Linked DNA regions of Tribolium castaneum. The protein of the gene in region 1 interacts with the protein of each later gene in a pairwise test. Links are inferred from orthologs where the notes say so. Each region holds a gene or a part of one and is shown in the gene's direction. Other genes may lie near its edges.

The links.
Region 2: the proteins of small glutamine-rich tetratricopeptide repeat-containing protein alpha (region 1) and soluble calcium-activated nucleotidase 1 interact in a two-hybrid assay, tested with the Caenorhabditis elegans proteins (2 studies listed by BioGRID). The link is inferred for Tribolium castaneum from reciprocal best matches to the Caenorhabditis elegans genes sgt-1 and apy-1.
Region 3: the proteins of small glutamine-rich tetratricopeptide repeat-containing protein alpha (region 1) and metaxin-1 interact in a two-hybrid assay, tested with the Caenorhabditis elegans proteins (2 studies listed by BioGRID). The link is inferred for Tribolium castaneum from reciprocal best matches to the Caenorhabditis elegans genes sgt-1 and mtx-1.

What each region holds. Positions count from the first base shown.
Region 1 is NC_087403.1:5,039,181-5,043,462, reverse strand, and holds the start of small glutamine-rich tetratricopeptide repeat-containing protein alpha, read left to right. Parts: upstream 1-1,481; 5' UTR 1,482-1,689; intron 1,690-1,738; 5' UTR 1,739-1,796; coding exon 1,797-2,009; intron 2,010-2,056; coding exon 2,057-2,160; intron 2,161-2,204; coding exon 2,205-2,488; intron 2,489-2,527; coding exon 2,528-2,645; intron 2,646-2,693; coding exon 2,694-2,756; intron 2,757-4,282.
Region 2 is NC_087399.1:566,692-570,264, forward strand, and holds soluble calcium-activated nucleotidase 1, read left to right. Parts: upstream 1-1,438; 5' UTR 1,439-1,574; coding exon 1,575-2,170; intron 2,171-2,251; coding exon 2,252-2,399; intron 2,400-2,466; coding exon 2,467-2,700; intron 2,701-2,749; coding exon 2,750-2,953; 3' UTR 2,954-3,016; downstream 3,017-3,573. Other genes in the region: luc7-like protein 3, read right to left, coding at 1-23, 73-212, 262-552, 601-1,040, 1,092-1,196. UniProt on the Caenorhabditis elegans protein: Hydrolyzes UDP and to a lesser extent GDP. By preventing the accumulation of NDP, may promote the reglucosylation of incompletely folded glycoproteins in the endoplasmic reticulum following the unfolded protein response.
Region 3 is NC_087397.1:2,268,559-2,271,777, reverse strand, and holds metaxin-1, read left to right. Parts: upstream 1-1,555; 5' UTR 1,556-1,674; coding exon 1,675-2,559; 3' UTR 2,560-2,643; downstream 2,644-3,219.

The sequences.
Region 1 (4,282 bases):
TAGTGAGAGTAATAAACTGAGCGAAAGCAAGAATTTTTACCAAAAAAAAAGAAATTTATTTACAGACAAGGTTGCAGAAAATTAAATTTTTTTGTTGGGTTGAGAGAATTACGAATAAATAAATGCAAAATTGTGTTTAGTTCCGAATCATACATGAGATTATTGTTTTTTAAGTCAGTTAATATGATCAAAGTTAAAAAAACACTTAGAAACAACTGAAATCACTTGACAAAATATGTGGTTTTAAAACTAGACCTGTACGTTCAGAAATATAAAAAACAAATTAATCATAAGCCGTTTATTATTCCCAAATTTCGTAATTAAAACAAGGCAAAAAAAATAGTTGAAAAAGATTAATAAAACATGTAGTTATTAGTATGTTAATTGCTTCTCAACATGAAAAAAATACCCCAAGCCTTGTTAGAAATTAAAAGACACACTGGTTAAGTTTTGTCAAAAAGACTTGCCGTAAAATAACATTTTAGAACATTGTTGGAAAAATTTTCATCAACAATACCATCAGAAGATTCAAAATAATCCTTACTGTTGATTTTTGGTCTGAGCCTAAAATTATAGTCATAATGGCACTAGCTCCAAATTTCTAAAGGAACCTGCCGTCTTGTATTGTTTCCTTTATCGGCTTATCAATTTTGTTTTCAAACTCTGAATACCCACATTGTTTCAGGGATTCAACAAAGTCATAAAAAATTGTCTCAGATTCCGACTTCAATAAACCGAATAAAATCATTCTGTTATTATGTCGGTAATCATCATCCTACAATGTTTCTAGAAATCAACTAGTTACTAAATTAATACGAACCTACAGTGTTTATACTGGCAATTAAATTGTTGACTAATGGGTCTTTTGTGGAGAGACTTTTCATTACATTTACTAAATCGTGGTCCCTCACTAATTCAACAAAATGTTGATAAATGAAGTTTTCCTGTTCGGGCAACATTTTCAACATTTGTTTAGTTAAACTCAAGACGTTGTGAAAATAAACTGGGAAAGAAAACACTAGAGATAATGGTCAACAAAAAAGGGCATAAAGTTGAGCAAGTTATACTAACGCATGCATTGGAAAAGTAAGTCAAAATATTTACTAAAACTAAGAAGATGCATTTAAACCACTTTATTTAGCTTAATTGGTTCACAATAGCTAAATGGTAAAACAAATTCAAAATTTTAACAACGTATAGTTGGTTGCTTAGGCTGGGCGCGGTGGATAAAAAATTAAAAACAAAAATTCGTCGCCCATATATCCCATTATCCCCATTTCAATTTGGCAATAACGGCAATGCTTTTTTGGAGTGAAATGGTGCACAAATTGAGAGTTTCTGTATAAGAAAATAATTTTGTGTTAAACTGAATCCCAACCACAAATTTTGAGCCAATTCCAAGAGAAAATTAATTTCGAAAATTGTCATTTGTTGCTAAATATTTGTTTTTTCGAAAATATTTTTTTCTGATTTCAAGTTTTCTACGTGTCTTTGGTCGGTATATCAGAGTCCCATCTTGCCGTCAATTACAAGACGAGAAGTTCTTAACCTCAACAAAATTTCTAAAAATTAATTCCAACAATTTCCCCCAATTTAATGTAGAAATCGGCGCCTGCCTTTGCCTTGAATTTCTCTTTATTTTTGCAGCGTTCCGTTGAAAACCTGCTTTTCGTATTTCCTTGCCTTTTTGTAAGTACCTTCCGCATAACCAGAAAATCTCATAAAAGTGGCTTCGCAGTGCTCCCTATTTTGCAACACGTCGCCTATAACCATTTTCACTCCATTCCTTTTCCAAAATGGAAAATTCAAATCTACGCAAAAAGACTCTAATCTTCAACGTCCTGGACTTCTTATCAGGTGAGGTCGGCGCTTCCGACCTCTCCGAGGAACGAAAGGAATCAATTGAGGTGGCAATTCAGTGTCTAGAAACCGCTTACGAAATTTCAAGCGACGATCGCCAAAATTTAAAAAAAGTTGATCTCCTCGCTCAAATCCGACTGAACGATGCGGTGAGACCATTAAAATATTCCGGCTTGTTGTTTACATGTTTGCTTAGGGGGTCCAACAAGAGCAGGCCCTCGAGGCGGAGCGCCAGAAAAATTTGGGCAACACAGCGATGAAAAACGGCGAATATGAGGAGGCTGTGCGTTACTACTCAATGTGAGTTACGGCAAATTTTGGCAAATTTCTGAAGTTGTTTGCAGGGCTATCGAGGCAAACCCCACCAACCCGGTGTACTTTTGCAACAGGGCCGCGGCCTACAGCCGCTTAGAGAACAATGAAGAGGCTATCAAAGACTGCAAACAGGCCCTGGTTCTCGACCCGACTTACGGCAAAGCCTACGGTAGACTGGGCATTGCCTATTCGAACTTAAACCAATGGGCCGATGCTGTGCGTGCTTACGAGTCCTCCCTCAAATATGACCCCCACAACGCCAGTTACCAAACCAACCTTACTCTAGCCCGCGAACGCCTGTTCGAGTCGATGGGTAAGAGTTAAAAATTACGATATAAAATTGAAATCTAAGTTCCAGAAAATGCAGCACCTCCACAACACCGCCCACTTGACATCACGCAGTTCATTAACAACGAGCAATTTTTGACCATGGCGCGGGAAATGATGGCCAATCCCGACTTCCAAAATATGTAAGTGCCCCAAATACGAAAAACTTTGAAATAATTATTCATTCGCAGAATGTCTGGCATTATGGCAATGAGCCAATCGGGGGATACCAACTTTGAGGCTCTTTTTCAAGCGTAAGTATTGTTTTTTTCACTTATTGGCAATAAGCAATAATAAATTACTAGAAATAATAATAATAATAATTCTTTATTGGTGGTATATGTTTTACGCAAGTCACAAAAAATACATAAATACATACTCATAAGATATTAAAACTACATTTAAAAAACTCATCTCAGTTCTACAAACAATTAGCTTTTAAACAAATTTTTAATTTTTCCCTAAAATCGACCGGGAAAACATTGAAAAAATTTATTGCATCGTACCGGGTACAACTCTTTACTCTAAAGATCCTGTTATGCAAAGGTATAATATTTTTGTTCCTCCTTGTATCATGGTCTTGAAATTCTTTGTGCCTGATATATTTATTAATATTTTTCTTAGTATAGAGAAGAGAGTTTAAAACATATAAAGATGGCAAAATAAAGACTGCTCTACAATCAGCTTTGTAATTTAAAGCCGCTATCATGTGCACTGCTCTCCTGTTAAGGAATGGTTTAGCAAAAATTTGAAGGTAGACAGAGAATGGCAAAACGAATCGACTAAGTAAATTTTTTGAATATCGAAAATGCATAGTACTCTCAAAAAATCGTTTTAAAAAACTTTGACTTGAACTTCCCAAAGGTCCCAAAAACCGCTGAACTAGAATGGTAAAAATTAGCGTGTACTTTAAAATTATTGACAAAACGGCAGAGGTAAATTAATTTCTTGGTCCACTTCATAATTCTTTTATTTCAATTTGTGTTTTGTTATAAAATACAAAAATGTTTGCTTAAGGAAAAAATTAATTGTTAATAAACTAGCATAAACCACACAATGGCTTAATATATGGATTAATAATTTTTTTTAAATTAATATATGGATTAATAAAAAAAAATTCACATACAAAATATTGCTAAGCCATTCCCTAAACCCCGTATAATAATAATTAAAAAAAATAATTCACTGACCTTTATGGCATCTTCGGCTACAAGTTGTAGAAGTCCCACCGCATCATCTTCTTAAGCGGACTTACTGGAATGAAAAACAATAAAATTAGAACAATATGCCTTAACTTAGTTGAAAATATTACAAATACTACAATTTTAATTTTTCGAAAAAGGAAATATTGCAGACTAACCCTTTAATCCGGATTGTTTCCTCCTTTTCTCCCTGGGAATCCATTCTATCAACACTAACACTAACACCACTAACCGCGATCAACGAATTTGAAATTTTTAAACTGCAAATTTTTCGATTTTATTTATGAAGCGTCCGATCGCGACGACAACGAGTAACAAACTGCACATAATTGTGTAAGAATATGGATAAAACGTCACCAAGAAAAAATGTAATCTGAGATAACTACTAATTCTTGTAAGGTGAATTGATTGTTACGACTTCGTTAACGTTTTTTTCATATACCTAAATGAAAAATATACAGGGTATTTAATCGTTGAAACGTATTGCTTAAAACTTATAAAAATAATCAAATCATTTTGAATACAAATTCACACAATTGTGCCTTGAGCGTTGGAAAGCGGGAAATTCTTTCCCGTTT
Region 2 (3,573 bases), on another chromosome or scaffold:
GTACTGGTGATGACTCCTCCTCCCTAAAAACAAAACACAACACCTCCAAAAAACAGCATTTAAACATCGCACCGGAATCACGATCGGAGCGATGTTTCCGGTCTCGTTCCCTCTCCTTCTCCCGTTCTTTCGTCCTATGTGCCTCTCTCTCCCTCCTCTCCTTCCGCTCCTTATCCTTGTCTCTCCTATCCTTTTCCTTGTCTTTTTCCGACCTGTGGGAAATCAGAATTAAAGGCCTCAGCTTCGCTTCGGGTTCCGAACCTATGTTCCGATCGTTCCCGTCGTTTCTCTCTGTCACGCTCGCGCTCTCTCTCACTTTCACGGCCTGCTAGACTACGACCGGAGCGTCTCTCCTCCTTGGCGGTTTGAACCACAGCTGTGATTTCCTCCAAGGCGGATTTTAAACGTGCAAAACCCACGTGTTGTTTGCCCATCAAGTGGTCGTCTATCCTTTGCTGGGCGTCGCCGACTATGAGAAAAGCCCCACAGACTTGACACACTTCCATTTGTTTTTCCTGGGCCGCGGCCAACTCAGCCGTGGCGTTCCAATGCCTAAACAACGAAATAACGCGCGAATTTTGCAAAAATTAGGGGAATTACCCATTTTCGATTTGTTTGCGTAATGAGTCGCGTTCTTCCTTCAACTGGTCGCAAAGTTTCATCAAACCTTGGGCTTGCTCCACGTTACCGTCGGTTCCAGCCTGCTCTGCTTCAGCCTCAAGACCGTTGATTCGCTCGTTTAGGATTTTAATTTGTTCTTGGTTTTTTTGCGATTGTGCGGGTGATATGGACGGGAGTTCGGTTTTCCCGCTCAGGGCTAGTCTCATTTTGCCTTTTTGTATTTTACGTTCGACTTCATTGATCATGGAGGAGCAAAAACGGATAAACTCCTCCTGGTAGTGGATTTTTCGGTGGGGTTTCGCTTGTTGGAACATTTTTCGGATTTCTTCATCGTGGACTTTCGAACACGCGCCCAAATCAGCTCGCGTGTTCACGAATAAGTCGTGGGGGCAGAATTTAACCATGAAATACTTGCAATACTGGGGGCAAAAGTTAGTTTGACGGAAAATGGTCAAATTTGTGACACTCACTTCAGGGTCCTCCCAGTTCAATTCTTTGACTTTTTCATTGGGGGCGACGTTGCGGTTGCGCCCCATTAACTCGTCCAAGAGCTGAGCTGCCGCTAACACAGCCATTTTTTGTTTGATGGCCTTGAAATAATTTTGTTTTTGTCAGGTTGGTCGTGGCGTGGCGACTGTGGCGTCATCTCACCAACGGAAAACATTTTTATTGTAATTTTAACGCAAAACCACGGATTAAAACTATAATAAAGTTGTCCAAGTAACAAATTTCAATCATTTCGTCCACATTTCAGCCACAAATTTAGAAAAATCAGCCTGGAATATGTAATTTTCGACTTTTGGTGCCAGCCTCTGGAACAAAATTCCCCAAATTTCGAACTCAGCTGTCATGTTGACAGTCAAAACTTAGGTTAAGTAGAGTTTGAAATTTAGGATTATTTTTTGTGATAATGATACGTGTAAGCTGGCCCAGTCCAACGTGATAGTTAATTGATGGAACCAAACCGCTTGCACCTGTTATCCGAGGACGAAATGGCCAGTTCCAAGGACTGGAGAAAGGCCTTAAGGTCGCAGCCCGCTTACCGCATAGTCAATCGGACCATACGTGGCCAAACCCAGTTCATTTCAATCGTGGCCTTTATCGGCCTTTTTGTGTTAATCCTCCTGTACATGTTTCCCCGTAAGGGGGCCACATCTGGTAGCGTTCTCAGGAGTAGTACTTACAACTACACGTACCCTCTAACTAGTCCAATTAAAACCAGTTCAATGCATACGTTCCGGATAGGTGTTATTGCCGATCTGGACACGAATTCGAAGAGTGAAACGGAGAAGAATGTGTGGTTTTCGTATTTTATGAAGGGCTATCTGAGCTATAGTCCTACGAGACGGACGGTTGTGGTTACGTGGGACCGCACAAGTCCGGTCAAGTTAACTACGAGTTATTCGTTGAAAGGGAGAGGGATGGAGTTGTCCGAGTTGGTGGTTTTTGACGGCAGATTGCTCACTTTTGAAGACAGAACTGGACTTGTGTACGAAATTATTAATGATAAAGCAGTTCCGTGGCTGCTTCTTATGGACGGGGACGGGAGGTGAGATAAAAAAAATCACCCTGTAGCGGTCGCTGTATCAAAATTATAACCACCCTGTATTAATTAATTATTTTTTTGCAGAACCACAAAGGGCTTTAAGTCGGAATGGGCGACCGTAAAAGACGAAATTTTATACGTAGGGTCCATGGGGAAGGAATGGACGACCCCTAGCGGGGCCTTTGAAACAAACAATCCCATGTATGTGAAGGCCATAACACCCAAAGGCCAAGTAAGTCCCTTTTTTTGCTCAACGTGATGTTGCGAATTTATTCTTTTTTAATGTTGATAGTTTTTAGGTCAGCCACCTAAGCTGGGTGAACGAATATAAGCGAATTCGGGAAGTTCTGGGCATTTATTGGCCCGGTTATATGATCCATGAGAGCGGGGTTTGGTCTGACGTCCACAGACGTTGGTTCTTTTTGCCTCGAAGGTGCAGCAAAGAGCAATACAACGAATCATTGGACGAACATAGAGGTTGTTCGGTGTTGATAAGTGCCGATGAGGATCTCTACGATGTTAAAAAAACACAAGTAATGTTCAGTGCTTTCGTAATTTTTTTTTATTTAATTGTGTGTCTAGATTTTGAATTCGAAACCAACGAGAGGTTTTTCGAGTTTCAAGTTCCTGCCATCGTCCGAAGATCAAGTCATTGTGGCGTTACGAAGCGAGGAAGTTGATGGTAAAACAGCGACCTACATTACCAGCTTTACGATTCGAGGGGAAGTCCTCCTTGACGATCTCCACATAGCTGATTTAAAATACGAGGGATTGGAGTTTATTTAGCATTCCCGCAATTTTGTAAAATATTGTACATTGTGTATTAATTTAAATAAAAAATTGTAAATACGACTTGACTTTGATTTCGTTTACAAAGGCTAAAAAATATAACTTAGAGACTTCCAATCGAAGAGCAAAACGGTTTGTTCCAGTGAATTCTGCGTTTTTTTCTTAAATATCTATAAATATCTTAATATCTATATCGATTTTATGAAGCACAACATAATTTTGAAATTTTAGTTTTTCTTATTACTCTCGCAATAATACGCTATTTGCGTATCGTAATATCCAACAAACTTCTATAATAATTACACTAAAAACCAGGGTAATTTAGTTAATTAATCAATCTTATTTAAAGAAATAATTCGGCGACGTTGGCGTTTTTATAGTTTTCAAACAGCTGGGAGGTGCTAAAAAAAGTTGTCAAAAGCTGATTGAAGTGTGGAAAAAATACACAGTTAGCACTATCAAATAACTTTTATATTTTTTCTCCAGTACATTTCAACTTTTGTTGAAATGTTAGAATTAGTCGACCGATGACCCTACAAAAGGAAATGAATTCGAAATAAAAATTGAAATCATAAAATGACATATAATACATACTTTTTGATGCACGTGCAGAAGCC
Region 3 (3,219 bases), on another chromosome or scaffold:
GCAGTGACCATGATTTTTATTAACAATGTTTTTCGGGACTGTACTAAACAAACTCAGTAGACTAAAAATTTTTAGAGATAAATTAATATGTTCGTTTAATTTTTTATAATTTAGGAAGTAGATTCAACTAAAGTTTGAAGTTATGTTCCACCTTTGTTCATTTCTTTTACTCTCAAAACAAAAGGTATTTTTCCTTTATTAGGAAGTGCTCTTACATTTACAATTTGGCGCCTTTACGTACTTTTATCTTTTGCTGCATTATTTTCTTAATTTTGTAAGTTTTATGCTTCGCTTTACGTTTAACGTCTCTATGTTCTCTCAATCTCTTATTTTTGTTCTCATGTTGTTTCACTTACCTTTTCTACACTTTTTTTCTCAGAAAAATTTGTTGCCGTGATCCGGGTTCGAACACCCGACCTCCCCCGCCGTAAGTGGCGCTTATACCACTGGGCCACCGAGGGCCCCAGGTACTGACCGACTTTTGCAGATATTTTAACACAAACTTTTTAAATAAATCAACATTATAAACTATACAGGCTGCTCCACAAGTAGTGGTGAGCCTCAAAAATGTAATATTAATTTAATAAAGCCATTGTAAATTTTCTATGTGTTTATTTACTTTATACTGTAAAACTACATGTAGCATGTAACTTTACGTCATCGTTCTTGGTTACAAAAAAGCATTACCAATATTGCAATTTCACAGTGAAACTTTTTCCAGTGTTTAAAAGCTCGCCAACGCACTAAAACAGAAAATTAAGCTTAATTGATGCAAAAACACAAGTTCCAGAAAGGTGCTTAGTCCATGACACACCACAGTCTGAGATTTATGAGTATAGCGAAACTCATGAACTTTTCCAACTTTTAACAGATAATAAAATTTTAATCACCCCTTTCTTAATAGAATGATAAATTGCAGTAAATGAAAAAATAGAAAAAGGACAAACAGGTCGGTGACTCGGCGACAAACTCAAAGCACAATTAATGAATTTTTAACGTGCTTAATACCAGCTTTAAAGTGACAGCAAATAGAACAAGCAGCTTGCAATTACACAAGTTTCAAACTGACATAATTGAATATTACAACCGGAAAATATAACTTTTAAGCGTGATAGTGCCGCGATATTGTGCATTAGTTAATGGGTGATGGATTATTTCTCTGGGGCTTTACTGTCACACGTCGCAGTGCAAAGCTTTTACTCCGGAAAAATACGAAAATTAATTTTTAATTGACAAAGCGTTGTGTTATCTAAATGGGGCCTTTCGGCCAGGCTTAATAAAGTTTCAAATGAAAACACTCGCTTTTTTATTATTTACACTACAATAAAGTTTATTGTCCCCATTTTTCTCTTAGATGAAGGTCAATTTGGAAGAAATTTCGACATTCATGTACGTCTTTATTGTCCATAAACCGTTTTTGTGGTCGACTTTTAAATTGCATATTCGAAACGGGGAGTTTACGTCCCTTCGCTTTGGCATTAACGGTTATGGCGCAAACACTTGAAAAAGGGGAAAGAACGTTTTTTAAGTAATTAAATTTAGCGCGCCTGTGTCGGTAAAGTCGCGCACTGTCGCGAAAATCAATGCCAGTTCTGCGCTGACAGTTCTCGTTCTAACCTAAAAAACTAGAAATTTTCGTAATGTTTCCTGCCTTGGCTTCAAAATCGTGATTAAATGGATAAACCGGCGAGTCTTTACGTAATCGAGGGCGATTATGGCCTGGTTTCGCTCGACGTCGGTTGCATCGAGTCGATTTTCTACGCCCGGCTCAAGAAACTCCCCGTTGAAATAAAGCTGCAAAACGGCGTAAAATCATGTGCTTTGTACAGTGCGCCCAGTCTGCGGTGCGGCAACGTCACGGTGACCCAGTTCCCGAAAATCCACCAGCACTGGAAGAGCCTCCACGGCGACCTGGACCACAGCCTCTCTGCCAAAGATTCCAGCGAAACGCTCGCGCTAATAAATCTAGTCACGATGAAACTAAACCCGGTTCTGGAATTCCTCTACTGGGTGGACCAGAGAAATAACGAGGAGTTCATCAGTCGGTGGTTCATGAGCGCGCTTCCTTTCCCCTTCAATTACTCGTACACCAAGCGCAAAAAAAGCGAGGCCTTGCAGCTGATCGAGACCTTGTACCCCCTGGACAGCGACATGGAGGTGGTCAAGGAGTTCGTCACCAAAACGGCCACCACGTGTTTGTCAACCCTGTCCACGCGGTTGGGCAAAGCCAAGTTTTTCTACGGGGATTGTCCCATGACGGTGGACGTTGTGGTGTACGCACATTTAGCCCCCCTTGTCAAATTGCCCTTCCCTACCAATGATATTCCAGCCTTGCTGTCCATGTGGCCGAATCTGACCGAGTTTGTTAAAAGAATAGACGCGAAATATTTTCCCGATGTTAAAAGGGAAGTCAAATATTTGCAAACTGAGAGCAATAATCGGCAAAGTGATGATGATGTTTCCTATCTTTCCGTTTTTATCCTAGTTGTGAGTGCGACGTCGCTTGTCGTGGGGTTTGCGGTGAAAAAGGGGTTCATCAAATTGTCAAATTTTTTTTAGTTGTTCTTAAGACTGAACTGGCTGCCAGTACTGTTAGTAATTATTGTTTTTGTAAATGTTTTGTAATAAAGTGATTAGAAGAAAGGTGTGTTTTATTTTACCTCAAACAAAAATCAGCCCAATAAACTTTTTAGTTTGCGAAAAAAATAATTAAGTAGTACATTATCGGGTCTAATAATTTTTGTATAACATTTTTTTCGAAATTACTTTTATAATTCGAAATTGCCATTTTTTTACCAATTACGGTCTAAAATACAAACTGACCTTTTATCAAAACCAGTAGTTTTTTTTGACAAATAACAAAGTTAAATCAACAATTGGGAACAATCGTAATTTCACAAAAGTCGCAGACATTAAAAGGACAAGAAAAGAAACAAACAAGTTTTTTGCTCAGTTTTAATCGCCTTATGAGATTGGTCGGTTTTACAGTTGGGAGTGCAATCCCCTCCCCGATATCCAATGACAAACGCTTCAATCGTCTTGCAATTTTTTGTGCACCAGATAAACAAGTAGGAGGTGATTTTTATATTTTTATTGGTCAATTGCTCATGCCTGGGGCAAATGAGAACCGGTGTAGGGCCGGTCTTTCTCACAGAATGGGATCTAGCCTTATGTGCGAATAAAATGGTCGATTTGGTTATAGTTTTTGAGATAATTTGA